2 linked regions of the Sus scrofa genome follow. The protein of the gene in region 1 interacts with the protein of each later gene in a pairwise test. Links are inferred from orthologs where the notes say so. Each region holds a gene or a part of one and is shown in the gene's direction. Other genes may lie near its edges.

The links.
Region 2: the proteins of ZHX1 (region 1) and ZMYND11 interact in a two-hybrid assay, tested with the Homo sapiens proteins (2 studies listed by BioGRID and IntAct). The link is inferred for Sus scrofa from reciprocal best matches to the Homo sapiens genes ZHX1 and ZMYND11.

Annotation. Positions count from the first base shown.
Region 1 is NC_010446.5:16,120,269-16,125,900, forward strand, and holds part of ZHX1 (zinc fingers and homeoboxes protein 1), read left to right. Parts: coding exon 1-1,683; 3' UTR 1,684-1,686; intron 1,687-4,516; exon of another isoform or gene 4,517-5,632. UniProt on the Homo sapiens protein: Acts as a transcriptional repressor. Increases DNMT3B-mediated repressive transcriptional activity when DNMT3B is tethered to DNA. May link molecule between DNMT3B and other co-repressor proteins.
Region 2 is NC_010452.4:69,291,367-69,297,586, reverse strand, and holds the start of ZMYND11 (zinc finger MYND domain-containing protein 11), read left to right. Parts: upstream 1-2,170; 5' UTR 2,171-2,392; exon of another isoform or gene 2,393-2,493; intron 2,494-2,558; exon of another isoform or gene 2,559-2,771; intron 2,772-6,220. UniProt on the Homo sapiens protein: Chromatin reader that specifically recognizes and binds histone H3.3 trimethylated at 'Lys-36' (H3.3K36me3) and regulates RNA polymerase II elongation. Does not bind other histone H3 subtypes (H3.1 or H3.2).

The DNA of each region.
Region 1 (5,632 bases):
TCAGAAATTACTGTTCTTTCTGCCCAAGCAAAATATACAGAGGAACAGATCAAGATATGGTTTTCAGCCCAACGTCTAAAACATGGTGTTAGTTGGACTCCCGAGGAGGTAGAGGAGGCAAGAAGAAAACAGTTCAACGGCACAGTACACACAGTACCTCAGACCATCACTGTCATTCCTACCCACATTTCCACAGGGAGTAATGGTTTACCATCCATTTTACAGACATGCCAAATAGTTGGTCAGCCAGGTCTGGTCCTTACACAGGTAGCTGGCACAAATACCTTGCCAGTCACAGCACCTATAGCCCTGACCGTGGCAGGAGTTCCAAATCAAACAACTGTACAGAAAAGCCAGGTGCCTGCTGCCCAGGCTGGTGCAGAAACCAAACCAGCAACAGCAGCAGTCCCGTCTTCTCAGCTTGTCAAACACGAAACCACATTGGCAAACCCTGACTCATTTGGCATTCGGGCAAAAAAGACTAAAGAGCAACTGGCAGAATTAAAAGTCAGCTACCTGAAGAATCAGTTTCCCCACGATTCCGAAATTATCAGACTTATGAAAATCACAGGCCTGACTAAAGGAGAGATTAAAAAATGGTTCAGCGACACAAGGTACAACCAGAGAAATTCAAAGAGTAATCAGTGCTTACATCTCAACAATGATTCCTCGGCCACTATTATTATAGACTCCAGTGATGAAACCACGGAATCCCCAACTGTTGCGTCACAGCAGAAACAATCCTGGAATCCTTTTCCCGACTTCACTCCCCAAAAGTTTAAAGAGAAGACGGCAGAGCAGCTCCGTGCCCTTCAGGCGAGTTTTCTCAACAGCTCTGTGCTTACCGATGAGGAATTAAATAGGTTAAGAGCGCAAACCAAACTCACCAGAAGGGAAATTGATGCTTGGTTTACAGAGAAGAAGAAATCAAAAGCTTTAAAGGAAGAGAAAGTGGAAATAGAGGAAAGCAATGCAGGTAGTTCCAAAGAAGAAGGTGGAGAAACTTCTCCCGGAGATGAGGCTAGTGCACCGAAGTCAGGGACTACGGGCAAGATATGTAAAAAAACCCCCGAGCAGTTGCACATGCTTAAAAGCGCATTCGTCCGAACCCAGTGGCCGTCGCCAGAAGAGTATGACAAGTTGGCCGAAGAAAGCGGCCTTGCTAGAACAGACATAGTCAGCTGGTTTGGGGACACCCGTTATGCTTGGAAAAACGGAAACCTGAAATGGTACTACTACTATCAAAGCGCCAACTCCAGCATGAACGGTCTGTCCTCTCTGAGGAAAAGAGGGAGAGGGAGACCCAAAGGAAGGGGAAGAGGAAGACCTCGCGGGCGGCCCAGAGGAAGCAAGAGGATGAACAGCTGGGACAGGGGGCCGTCGCTTATCAAATTTAAAACTGGAACTGCAATACTTAAGGACTATTACCTGAAGCACAAATTCCTAAACGAGCAAGACCTCGATGAACTCGTGAACAAATCACACATGGGCTACGAGCAGGTCCGAGAATGGTTTGCCGAAAGACAGAGAAGATCAGAGTTAGGAATAGAATTATTTGAGGAAAACGAGGAGGAAGAGGAAGTTATCGACGATCAGGAAGAGGATGAAGAAGAAACGGACGATAGTGACACTTGGGAACCCCCACGACATGTGAAACGAAAGCTTTCTAAGTCGGATGACTGAAATGTAAGTTTTTAATCTGAGTGTATATTCACCAGCCACATCTGTTTAGACCAGTCACCTTGTACCTGTCATCTTCGCTTTTGACAGTTTTTGTTCTCAGGTAGTTTTCTCTCATACTAATAAGAGGACTGGGTGCCGGGAGTATAGCCGAGAGATAGGTGATTATCGTGTGTAGTCTGATTTTTATGATGATTATGTTTATTGTAAAGAGTTTCATGTTGCCTTAATGGTTTTTTGTTTGTTTTACTTTTTAGGGCTGCACCTGCGGCATATGGAGGTTCCCAGGCTAGGGGTCGAATCAGAGCTGCAGCTGCTGGTCTACACCACAGCCACAGCAAGGCCAGATCCAAGCCACGCCTGTAACCTGCACCACCGCTCACGGCTACACTTGATCCTTAAACCCACTGAGCGAGGCCAAGGATCGAAACCGCCTCCTCATGGATCCTAGTTGGGTTCGTTAACTGCTGAGCCACAAAGGGAACTCCAATTATTTATTTCCTATGTGAAATATTACTTTGTTTTAAAGGAAAGTTACCCATTTTCTAAGAAGGAAGACTGGTGGGCGGGTTGGGGATTCACAAATACTAAAGATAACTAAAATGTATTTCTTGCAACCCTCCTTCATTAAAGCTGTTTAAGGAAAGAATTCAAAAGAGAGAACTAAAGAGAAGGGGAAAAGTATACTCAAGGAAAGACTTAGCACAGGGATGAGGACTGCTCAGTTTTAGGCAACTAGGTGCCAATGGGTATCTTTTTTTATTCATTGTATTCCCCCCTACACTATTAGATTTTTAACTAGAGTTTAAAATGCTTTATATATTAAAATTATTCAATAGTTTTTCTATTAAAAGCCAAAGGTCTGTTTTAAGCTATATATAAGTTCATGTTTGCTTAGGTGGCATCTGTTTTTGAAAACTGTGATATAAATTTTTTCTGTTTTAGAGATCAATGGTAAATAACAGATTTGACATTAAATTAACTCAATTGCCTAAAATGTCTTTTCATTATTTGATATAAAACAAACCTGCTACCAGCAGAAACATAACAGCATTCAGTTAAAAATATCTCTCTGTAGGCAAAAAAGTGTAAGTAAATATGCTTTAGATTTGAAAGGTTTGGCATGTTCTTTTATAGATTGGGTTAATTAAAATTTCCCTCTAGTTGCACATCAGATACCTGATTTGGAATTAGAACTTCAGTTCCTAATGCTTTGGGAACTCAGTAGCATAGTTCTCTTCTACTCTCTGTTTTGGAGTGTTCTAGGATAAGACAATACTTTTTTAAAAACAGTGCAGTTGTCATGAAGTGTTTGTATCTGTCCATCGTCAGTAGCATCTTGTCAGAAATCCCTGCTGTGTTCTCGAAGAGCAGGGGAGGAAATGAGGCCTAGCCCCTCCTCACGTGAGCATATTTACATGTCACCATAGCTTTTTGCTTCCTTATGCCATCCTCTACTTTTATGCTCTTTTATTCTGCACAGAATTTCCTTAATCCCCCCACACACACGCCTTTCTCCAGGATTTTATTTATTTTAACAATTATTTCTAGAGAGCTTAATATGCACCAGGCACTATTCTTATTGCTTAGCAGGTTTTTTTCCAGGTTTTCTTTTCATTAACAGTTTTGGTTTTTTTCAGGCAGAAAAACAAATGAAACTAAAAATGCATCTATTTTAGAATGGCTCTCATTCCAGGTTGTAGAGCATAATGTATCGTTGTGAGTGAGTCACAAGAGGTTAAACAGTACTGTACGCTTTGTTCTGAAATGCAACCCTCCATTTTGTTACGTCAGAAATTTTCAGGACAAGCTTTCTTCTAACCTAGATGCAGAAAATATTTTTAACAGGCATTTCTATTTTACTGCTAAATGTGAGAATGTGCACTCAGCCAAGATTAAATCAACAAATTTGTTGCTGCAGTGAATTGTTGTTGTAGTAACCTCTGCAGTAATTTTGGAGGGAGTTGCAATCTTATTCTAAAAATAACATGAACTTTTTTGTAGAGCTTAGTTTGACCTTATTTGTAGTTTGTGTGGATAGTTCTTAAGTTATATATTAATATGCTGATGGAGACTATGGTCAGAAAATTCATACAAAGCCATGGTTTCCAAAAAATTGTATCATATAAGTTATACATGCACGTTGTGATACATAAATTGCTGTGCTCTGCTTTTAAAATATGCTAAAGTCTAAAATTATAAAACCCATTAATTAGAAAGTTATTGTTGGCCTAACAAAATAATTTTTAATCTTATAAAAGGATTCACCATTAAATGGTTTAATTTACCAAAAAAAACCAAAAACCTTTTCAGTGTATTTACTCCAAAAAGTGATATACATAGGGAGTTCCCTGGTGGTTTAGTGGTTAAGACTCAGCGCTTGCACTGCTGCAGCCTGAGTCTGGGAACTAAGATCTCACATCAAGCTGCCACACAGATAGCAAAAAAAAAAAAAAAAAAAAGTGATATATCTATATAGCACAAGCTAGTCCTGTATATAATAGAAGATACAAGAGTTTTTAGATTTCATAGTCTGTTTATTACAGATACAATGAAATGTATATTTCCTACTATGAATTTTTTATAAATTATTACATGAAAAATGTCCATAAGCAAATCTAGTGTATGCAGAACCTACACATTGGAGTAGCACACAGAGTCTAATGCAGTGTATAAGACACACGTGGCAAGTGGTCTCAGGATTCATGTGTGAATGTAGAGGATGCCTAATATAAATTTCATGGCTAATTTATATCATTTTTTCCCTAACAGTGGTAAATGTTTAAATATGGTTATCTTTTAAATTTTAGTTTTTTGTTATGTTTTTCTTTTATAGCTTCCTAAAACGTTGGAGGAGAACAAATTCTTCAATTCCAGATGTCTGATTTACTGTGAATGGGCCCAATCTTTGATGACACTGAAAACGTTTTGGGGCATACACAATCTCAAAAATAGCATCCAATACCCAAAAGAAATGGAACTCAATGTTGTGCCAAAGTTAAACTACTGCAGATGGCAGAAGTCCTGCATTGTACATAGAACACTAATTAAAAAACAACTTGTAAAAATTCAAATTTTAATACAGTACATTTTTATTCTGATATGATGGAGACATTCTGATTCTTAGACTTTCTGAGGGGGTTTAATGACCACTAGAGCTTGTCCTCATATTTTGTTCAGCTTAATACTGTATGTCTCATAAGATGGGCCTTATTGCCTGTATTCTTTGATATGTGATTAATCTTATAGCTTTGAGTGACCAAACATTTTACAGACTAAAAATTCTTAGAAACAGGAAAAAGTGAAATCTGATTTATCTCTACGTCTCATTTATCAGGCCCTGCACTAAGATTAAGAGCTGTGCATGGGTTTATACAGAAAAAACAGCCTGTTGACCTATTGAAGCAAGAAGATTTTGTGGTATCATTGGCGTTTAAAGATTGATCTTTCATGGAACACATTCGTAGATACCACTCTTACTACTTGTAATACTCTGTTACTTTTTTTCATTAGAAACTGAATTAGCTTTTATTAAACTGAACATAATCAGTACTGAAGAAGGGAAAGAAACTGGCATAAGCATTTGGATAGGGTGAAACTCTGAAATAAATATCGTACCAAAAATGTGAAAAGGAATCATATCGTAAATATTTACTTAGTGTTTTCTTACAATCGTGTGGAAATCAGAAATGTTTGTGCAGGTGTCAGATCAGAATTTTCAAGAATTCTCTTTTGGTGACGTTCTACTTTGTATAACAATTTCAGCGAATAACGAAAAAAAAATTCTGAGCTGATCACAATGAGTTAAAACGTAGCTTTTCTCTTATGAATGATGGGAGTATTAACTGTTAACTCTTGCCATATATCAGGAGACTGAAAGTTCCTACTCACAAACTTTGTAAAGACCGGTGCTGTTCATTCATGTTGAGAAGGACCCTTTCTTTTGTGACTC
Region 2 (6,220 bases), on another chromosome or scaffold:
TAAGTTGAAAATGCAGTTACTATTAGTTTAAATTAGAAAAAGGGATATATATTCCTGAGTTCCCGTAAATGAAAAGCACAAGGTCTCATTGAAATTTTTTTATTCCCATTTTATTTCACGAGTTTACATTACTTATTACAACACAACATAATTTCTATTCACTAATTTCTGTATAATGTGCTGCATTCCTGATGGTTTTTCACTTAAAGTTTCACTTAAAATTATGTTCTTAAACAAAGTGTATATACAATACTCAATGTTTATGTAATTCACCCTTTAACGCAAAGCAGAAACATAAAACATGTTATTTAAAAGCAAAACTAAAGGTAAAGGCAAAATAAAGAAATTAAATCAATGCCTTTCAGGAGCACATGCACAAGCTTACTGCTACATACTTGCAACCCAGGAACACTGAGATGTAAATTTAGCAGGAGACTCCCAACTCTACAGAGCTGTGAAGTCACCCTCTCTAAGCCGGTGCTAAAAACATATGAATTGGTCCTCATTATGAAAAGAAAGTGGAGGAAAGGGTATTAAAAAGAAGCTCCTTATAAAAGTTGTAACCCTAATGGGCATATTTTAAAATACATCTACATCTGTTTTTGACATATAGGATTCAAACACTTTTATACAGTCAAATTTATCACTTTCCTTTTCTGATAAAATCATTGCTTTAGAGCTTAGGATAGTTTTCTCCACACTAATCTTACAAATATCCACCTATATTTTCTTCTACCTTTAGAAAAATGATTTTCAGTTGCTACAATGTATTACTTAAGTGATTTCGATTATTTTAAACTGTGGGGTATAAATTAAGGATATGATTTGATTAATTTCTTTTAAAGAGACAAAAATTCCACATTAATTTGCTGAATAACACATGACTTCTCTATGTACATAATATTTCTTAAAGCAGAATCTGGAAAAATGATAGCCTGATCCAGTCCAACATTACCACTGGTGAGAGTCAGCTGGGGGTAGGGAAGGGTCAGAAGTGCTGGGTGGGGTCCTTCTTGGGGTGGTGCTAGGTCTCCGAAACAGGGCCAAGGGAAGTAAACCATCCCTCAGAGCCCACTACTCTTCCCTTTCCCTCTTTCCCTCCACGACTCAGTTCCTTGCTCTCTCTTTGCATGTTGGTGGATAAATTCATGGTGTAACCTAGGATGTATGGCAAGAAGTGCTTGGTCTTCTGGGCTTCCTCCCAACTCCCAATCCCAAACCAGGAGCCCCCAGACCACTTCCCTTGCCTATTATTCACTCGGCTGAGGGGAAAATGAGGTAAACAAAACTGTTTTGAAGGGGAAATAGAGCCAAAGGTTAAATTGTAGGCAAAACCAAGGTAGAATGAGAAATAAAATCTGGGTACAGAAATTAAAATGGTGCCTAAAAAAATTTAGAGAAAAATGTGGAGTTACACAGTGACTTCTTTCCTAAAATGTCTTCCTTGAGTGGCCTCAGGGAAACACATGCTGATCTCTATTTTACAGATGTCTTTTAAACAAGATGATTTACTTAAAGCTATTCATTGGTTAGAATTCCCGGTCCAGCATTCAAACCAGGCATGGCTCGATTTTTTTCTGACATTTTTTTAACCCGTCTGCCAGTGTTTAAAGGCATGTATTTATCCATACAGTTAAAATGAGTTAAACTGATTTTGTGATGCTCCTTGAGGTAACCAAAACCCCCTCTGGGGTGTATGAGGACCAGGGCTCTGAAAGACTGCTTCCTCCGCTGGTGTGCGTCATGGAACTCCTAGTCAAGTACGACCCATTTCTAAAGTCTTAGTCTTACAGCCCGGCCATGAAAGATTGATGAATCGGATTTAAATCCCCAGATTTCTTGGACAAGTGTCTTTCAGTGATTTTCAGGTATATACATGTCCAAATGGAGTCAGGGTAAGAAATTTTGGCGCAGAGGTGTTTCTTCCAAACTCCTCCTGGAGAAAGGTCATTAGGGAAAATACGTGAAATCTATAAAATATGCTTCTCTCTGAGCCTGTCTTATTTCACATATTGGGATCTTCTCTGGTTAGATCCACAATCACAAACTAAAAAAGACAACCTCCTTCTCCTTAAACAATTGGTGGTGTTTTTGCTAAAGTGATAATGGGTGGTCCGGTTCTTGTGGAAGGCGTAAGTGTGGAATGCAGCATATTCCCGCAGTTCGTTTTCATGACAGAATTAAAAGGGTATGAACACCATTTTACCGATCTTGCCCATTAAAAGCTAACGCTTCTCCAAGACTTTGCCATTCCGACGGCGACTCCAGGCAGGCACCACGCACACGAAATCAGGCGTCGGCCGGGCAGCGCCCGCAGCTGCGGGTCCGAGCTGACGATGCTGCGGGCGCCGGATCTTTGTGCGCTCCGCTCCCGGCTCCCGCGTGCCCGCACGTACGTAGCCTTCACGTGTGTGTGGATATGAAGTGCATGTGTGGATCTGTACGAATATGCTCCAGTTTGGGGAGAGGCGCGGAGCACAGGACGGAGGGAAGGTGGGTGTGGGCGTGCGCGGCGGGCCGGGCCGGGAGGGAGCCCGCGCCGAGCCCGAGCCCGAACCCGCTGCGCGGCCCGCCGGCCCGCCACACAATAAAGCCCGGGGGCGGCGGCGGCGGCGGCGGCGGCGAGGAGGCCGGGCCGGCGAGCGGCCGCCCCGCTCGACCCGCCATGTGAGCGGCGCCGCGGCCTGGCAGGACGCAAACTTTCCCCGCGGCGGGCGGCGGCGCCCCAACTCCGCGCCCGGCCCCGGCCCGCCGCTCGGCGAGGCGACACCGTAAGTGCGGCGGCGGGGCCTCCGCGCTTCCCTCGCCGGGCGCTCGCGACTTTCTGCGGCGAAGGCTGTCAACATGGCGCCCCCGAGGCGCCGCGCCGGGGCGGGCGGCGGGGAGGAGGCCCGGGCCGCGGAGCCGGAGGCGGGGAGGCCGGGCCGCGAGCCGGAGGCGGCGGGGAGGCCGGGCCGCGGAGCCTGGGGGCGGCGGGGAGGCCGGGCGCGCGGAGGCGGGAAGGCCGGGAGACGGCGGCCCCCCGCACCCGCCGGCCCAGGCTCGGAGGAGGCGGCCGCGGCGGGAAGGAGGCGGCGCGGGCGGCGGGCCGGGCGCGGAGGGGGAGGGCCGGGCGCGGCGGCGGCGGCGGCGGCGAGGACCGGAGCATAATGGTGGGAGAAGCTCGGCCGCGGCGGCGGGGCGGGGGCGCGGGCAGGGGCGTCCGAGGCGGGGGCGCGGCGGCTTTGTGGAGTCCGGGCCCGGCTGCTGCCTCTCGGGCCGCGGGCGTGACCGCCGCTCGCCCTCCGCGGGCAGCGCGGAGTGGACGGTGGAGCTTTGTCTGCGATGGGCCGGGGCCTGCGGGGCTGCGGGGGTCTCCTGCGCCCTCGCTCTTGGCCGCCCGGCGGGGGAGGCCCCGCAGGAGGCGGAGGCCCTCGGGAGGAGGACTGCGCGGGGCCTGCTCGGCCGCGAAGCCGGGAGTCGCGTGAGCTCCGGCCGCCGGGCCGGCCCTCCCCGCGCGGCCAGGCCTTCGGGCCCGGAGTCAGGGTCGGGGTCCGCCGGGACGCGGCCCTGTGAGTGTGGGGGCGGGGAGGCGCCTGCCGTGGCGGCTCGTTGTTCCGAGCGGTGGCCGCGGCTGGGCAGTGTGGTCCCCAAGGGCCCAGGCCAGACGCGGTCCCCGTGGCTGGGGACGGACAGTAGCGAGGCCTCTGCCTCCTCAGCAGTTCCTCCTGGGACCCCGCAGGACCGCCTGCGTGTCCGGCGTCCGGAGGGGAGCAGTTAAGCTGGGGCCCAGCAGGCGGGCTTGGGACCCTGACTTCCCAGTGGACTGCCCTCTTACGCCTTTCTGACCCAGCTGTGCAGGCGCTCGTGGTGTGTCCGTGGTGCCCCGTGTTAGGTACAGTGGGGGCGTGATACCAGGTGTGTCCGCAGGGCTCCCTGTTACATGCCTTTGGGCACGGTGCCTGGTGTGCGCCCAGTGTTAGGTGCTATGTGTCCGAGGTGCGCAGTGCGCACCTGGTGTGTGGCTGGGGGATGATACCTCGTGTGCCGGTGGTGCCGAATGTGTGCCTGGTATAGGGGTATGATACCTGCTGTTGGCATGGTGCCTAGTGTCACGAATACTCTGTGCACCTTACGTGCTTGTCTAAAGTGCCTGAACGTTGAAGGGGCCCCTTGGTTCAGATTTTTAGAAATCCGTAGCGCTCCCCCAGGTTTAGGTCCTGACTCCTCTAGTTTGTCTCACCCAGGTATTGTGTATCCTACAGAAAGCCGTGTCATGTGGAGGCAAGAGACTGCTTAAAAATAATTTAGTCTGTTTAAAGGCAGGAAGTGAAATGTTTACCTGTTTTAAGTCGAGAAATGTAGTAGCTGGAGCTCAGTAACTGTGTGATATATAACCTTTTCAGGTTTTTGGGTCATTGATTCTAATTAATGGTTTGAAGTTATCAGGGAGATAGTCTTGGTTGTACTTCAAAAGTTAGAGTGCTTTCCGGTAAGCAGGGTCACATGAATTCTAATTTGTGTAAGCAGGAGATAAAATGTGAATTTTGCACAGGCAGGTTATTTTCCTTGTCTTTGGCATTGATTACTGTCTTTATTTTGGCGAACTCTTTATAAGCGGGCCAGGTTAGAGAATCAAAGGTCAGAGACTATGGGATGCAACAGTAGCAGAATCAATGATAATACTTGCCTTGCTTAAAACTCTATACATGTTTAATAGAGGTTCTCAGTTCTTTGCGAGGTAATTTCCCCCATAGATGTTGTTCATATGAAAATGCAATCTCTTTTACATTTTGTGATTGGGCAATTTATTTTTGCAGTTACCTTTTGCCAAGTAGTTAAACATACATGTCAGTGTTTCCAGCTTTACTTAAAAAATCAGTTAAAATGTTAAAATTGGCTCAGCGGGTTAAGAACCATCATTATCTCTGTGAAGATTCAGGTTCGATCCCTGGCCTTGCTCACAAGATGCTGTATAGGTCCAAGATGTGGCTTGGACCAGTGTGCAGTGGCTGTGGTGTAGGCCTGCAGCTACAGCTTTGATTTGACCCCTAGCCCAGGAATTTACATATGCCACAGGTGCAGCCGTTTAAAAAAAAATGGTTATCTCCTTAGATCATATGAAATATTAACGCGATATCATTAAGTTGATACTTCGAGTGGATCTTTCCATGAATTCACCTGTGTTTATTTGAATTCTCACCCTTTTGTAACCATACTCCCATTTCCTCTAAGGGTTGTTCAGATAGTGTATACTGGAGACATTCATACCCTTTGGCATCCCTAAATTGAGACACTAATTGAAGCTCATTAAGAATTGTAATATTTGTAATAAAGTATCAAATGCTGTTCTACTAGTGTAAAGCCCTAAACCCTGGGTGTCAGATTTTGTTTACCTACTTCTGCCATCCTTCAGTTGAATTCTCCATAGAAAGCAACATTTAAGCAAAGAGGCTGTGTCTGGAAAAAGTGGTAAGGAGAAAAGTCAGACCCGAGAAAGTCACTGTTTGAAAACCTTCACTTGAACTTAACATTGAATTTTTTTACAGTGGGATTAGATTTTTGTAATTGAGTTAGAGGTAGCTTGACAACTTGAGTTTGAGGTCAGGTGGCTTGAGTCAGAATCTCACCTTTGTCATTTACTAGCAGAGTGACCTTGGGCAGACTGTTTAAACCTGTCATCCCTGATCTCAGTTTCCCCACATGGAAAACAAGGATGAGAGTAATTGCACCTACTTCGCAGGGTTGTTGACGTATAAGCTACTGTGAGACTTCGGTTGAGTCAAATTCAGTTTGGGTTATTAAACTAGCATGGAGAGGAGTGAAGCTCTGAAGTTACAGTGTGGCATGGCCTGCCTTGTCTTACTAGTTGGTATTTGACCATCATATCATGCTTCTGAATCTCTTTTTCTCACTAGGTATCTCAGAAGGTTAGAAAACTAGCATTTGTTGTATTCCTCATGGTTCATTTACCTGAAGCAATTTTAAGGCTTTTTTTATCATTACTTTTAAAAATCATGGCTAAATATTCATAGCATAAAGTTTACCAGTTTTAAGGGTACAGTTTAGTTATTAAACTATTAGATACATCCATCCACTCTGTTGTGCAACCACCACTACCACCCACCGCCATAAGCTCTTTTTGCTTTGTAAAACTGAAGCTCTGTACCAGTTACACCCTAACTCCCCAGTTCCTTCTCCCCAGCCTCTGGCAAATGCTTGTTGTTACCTCTTTGTCTTT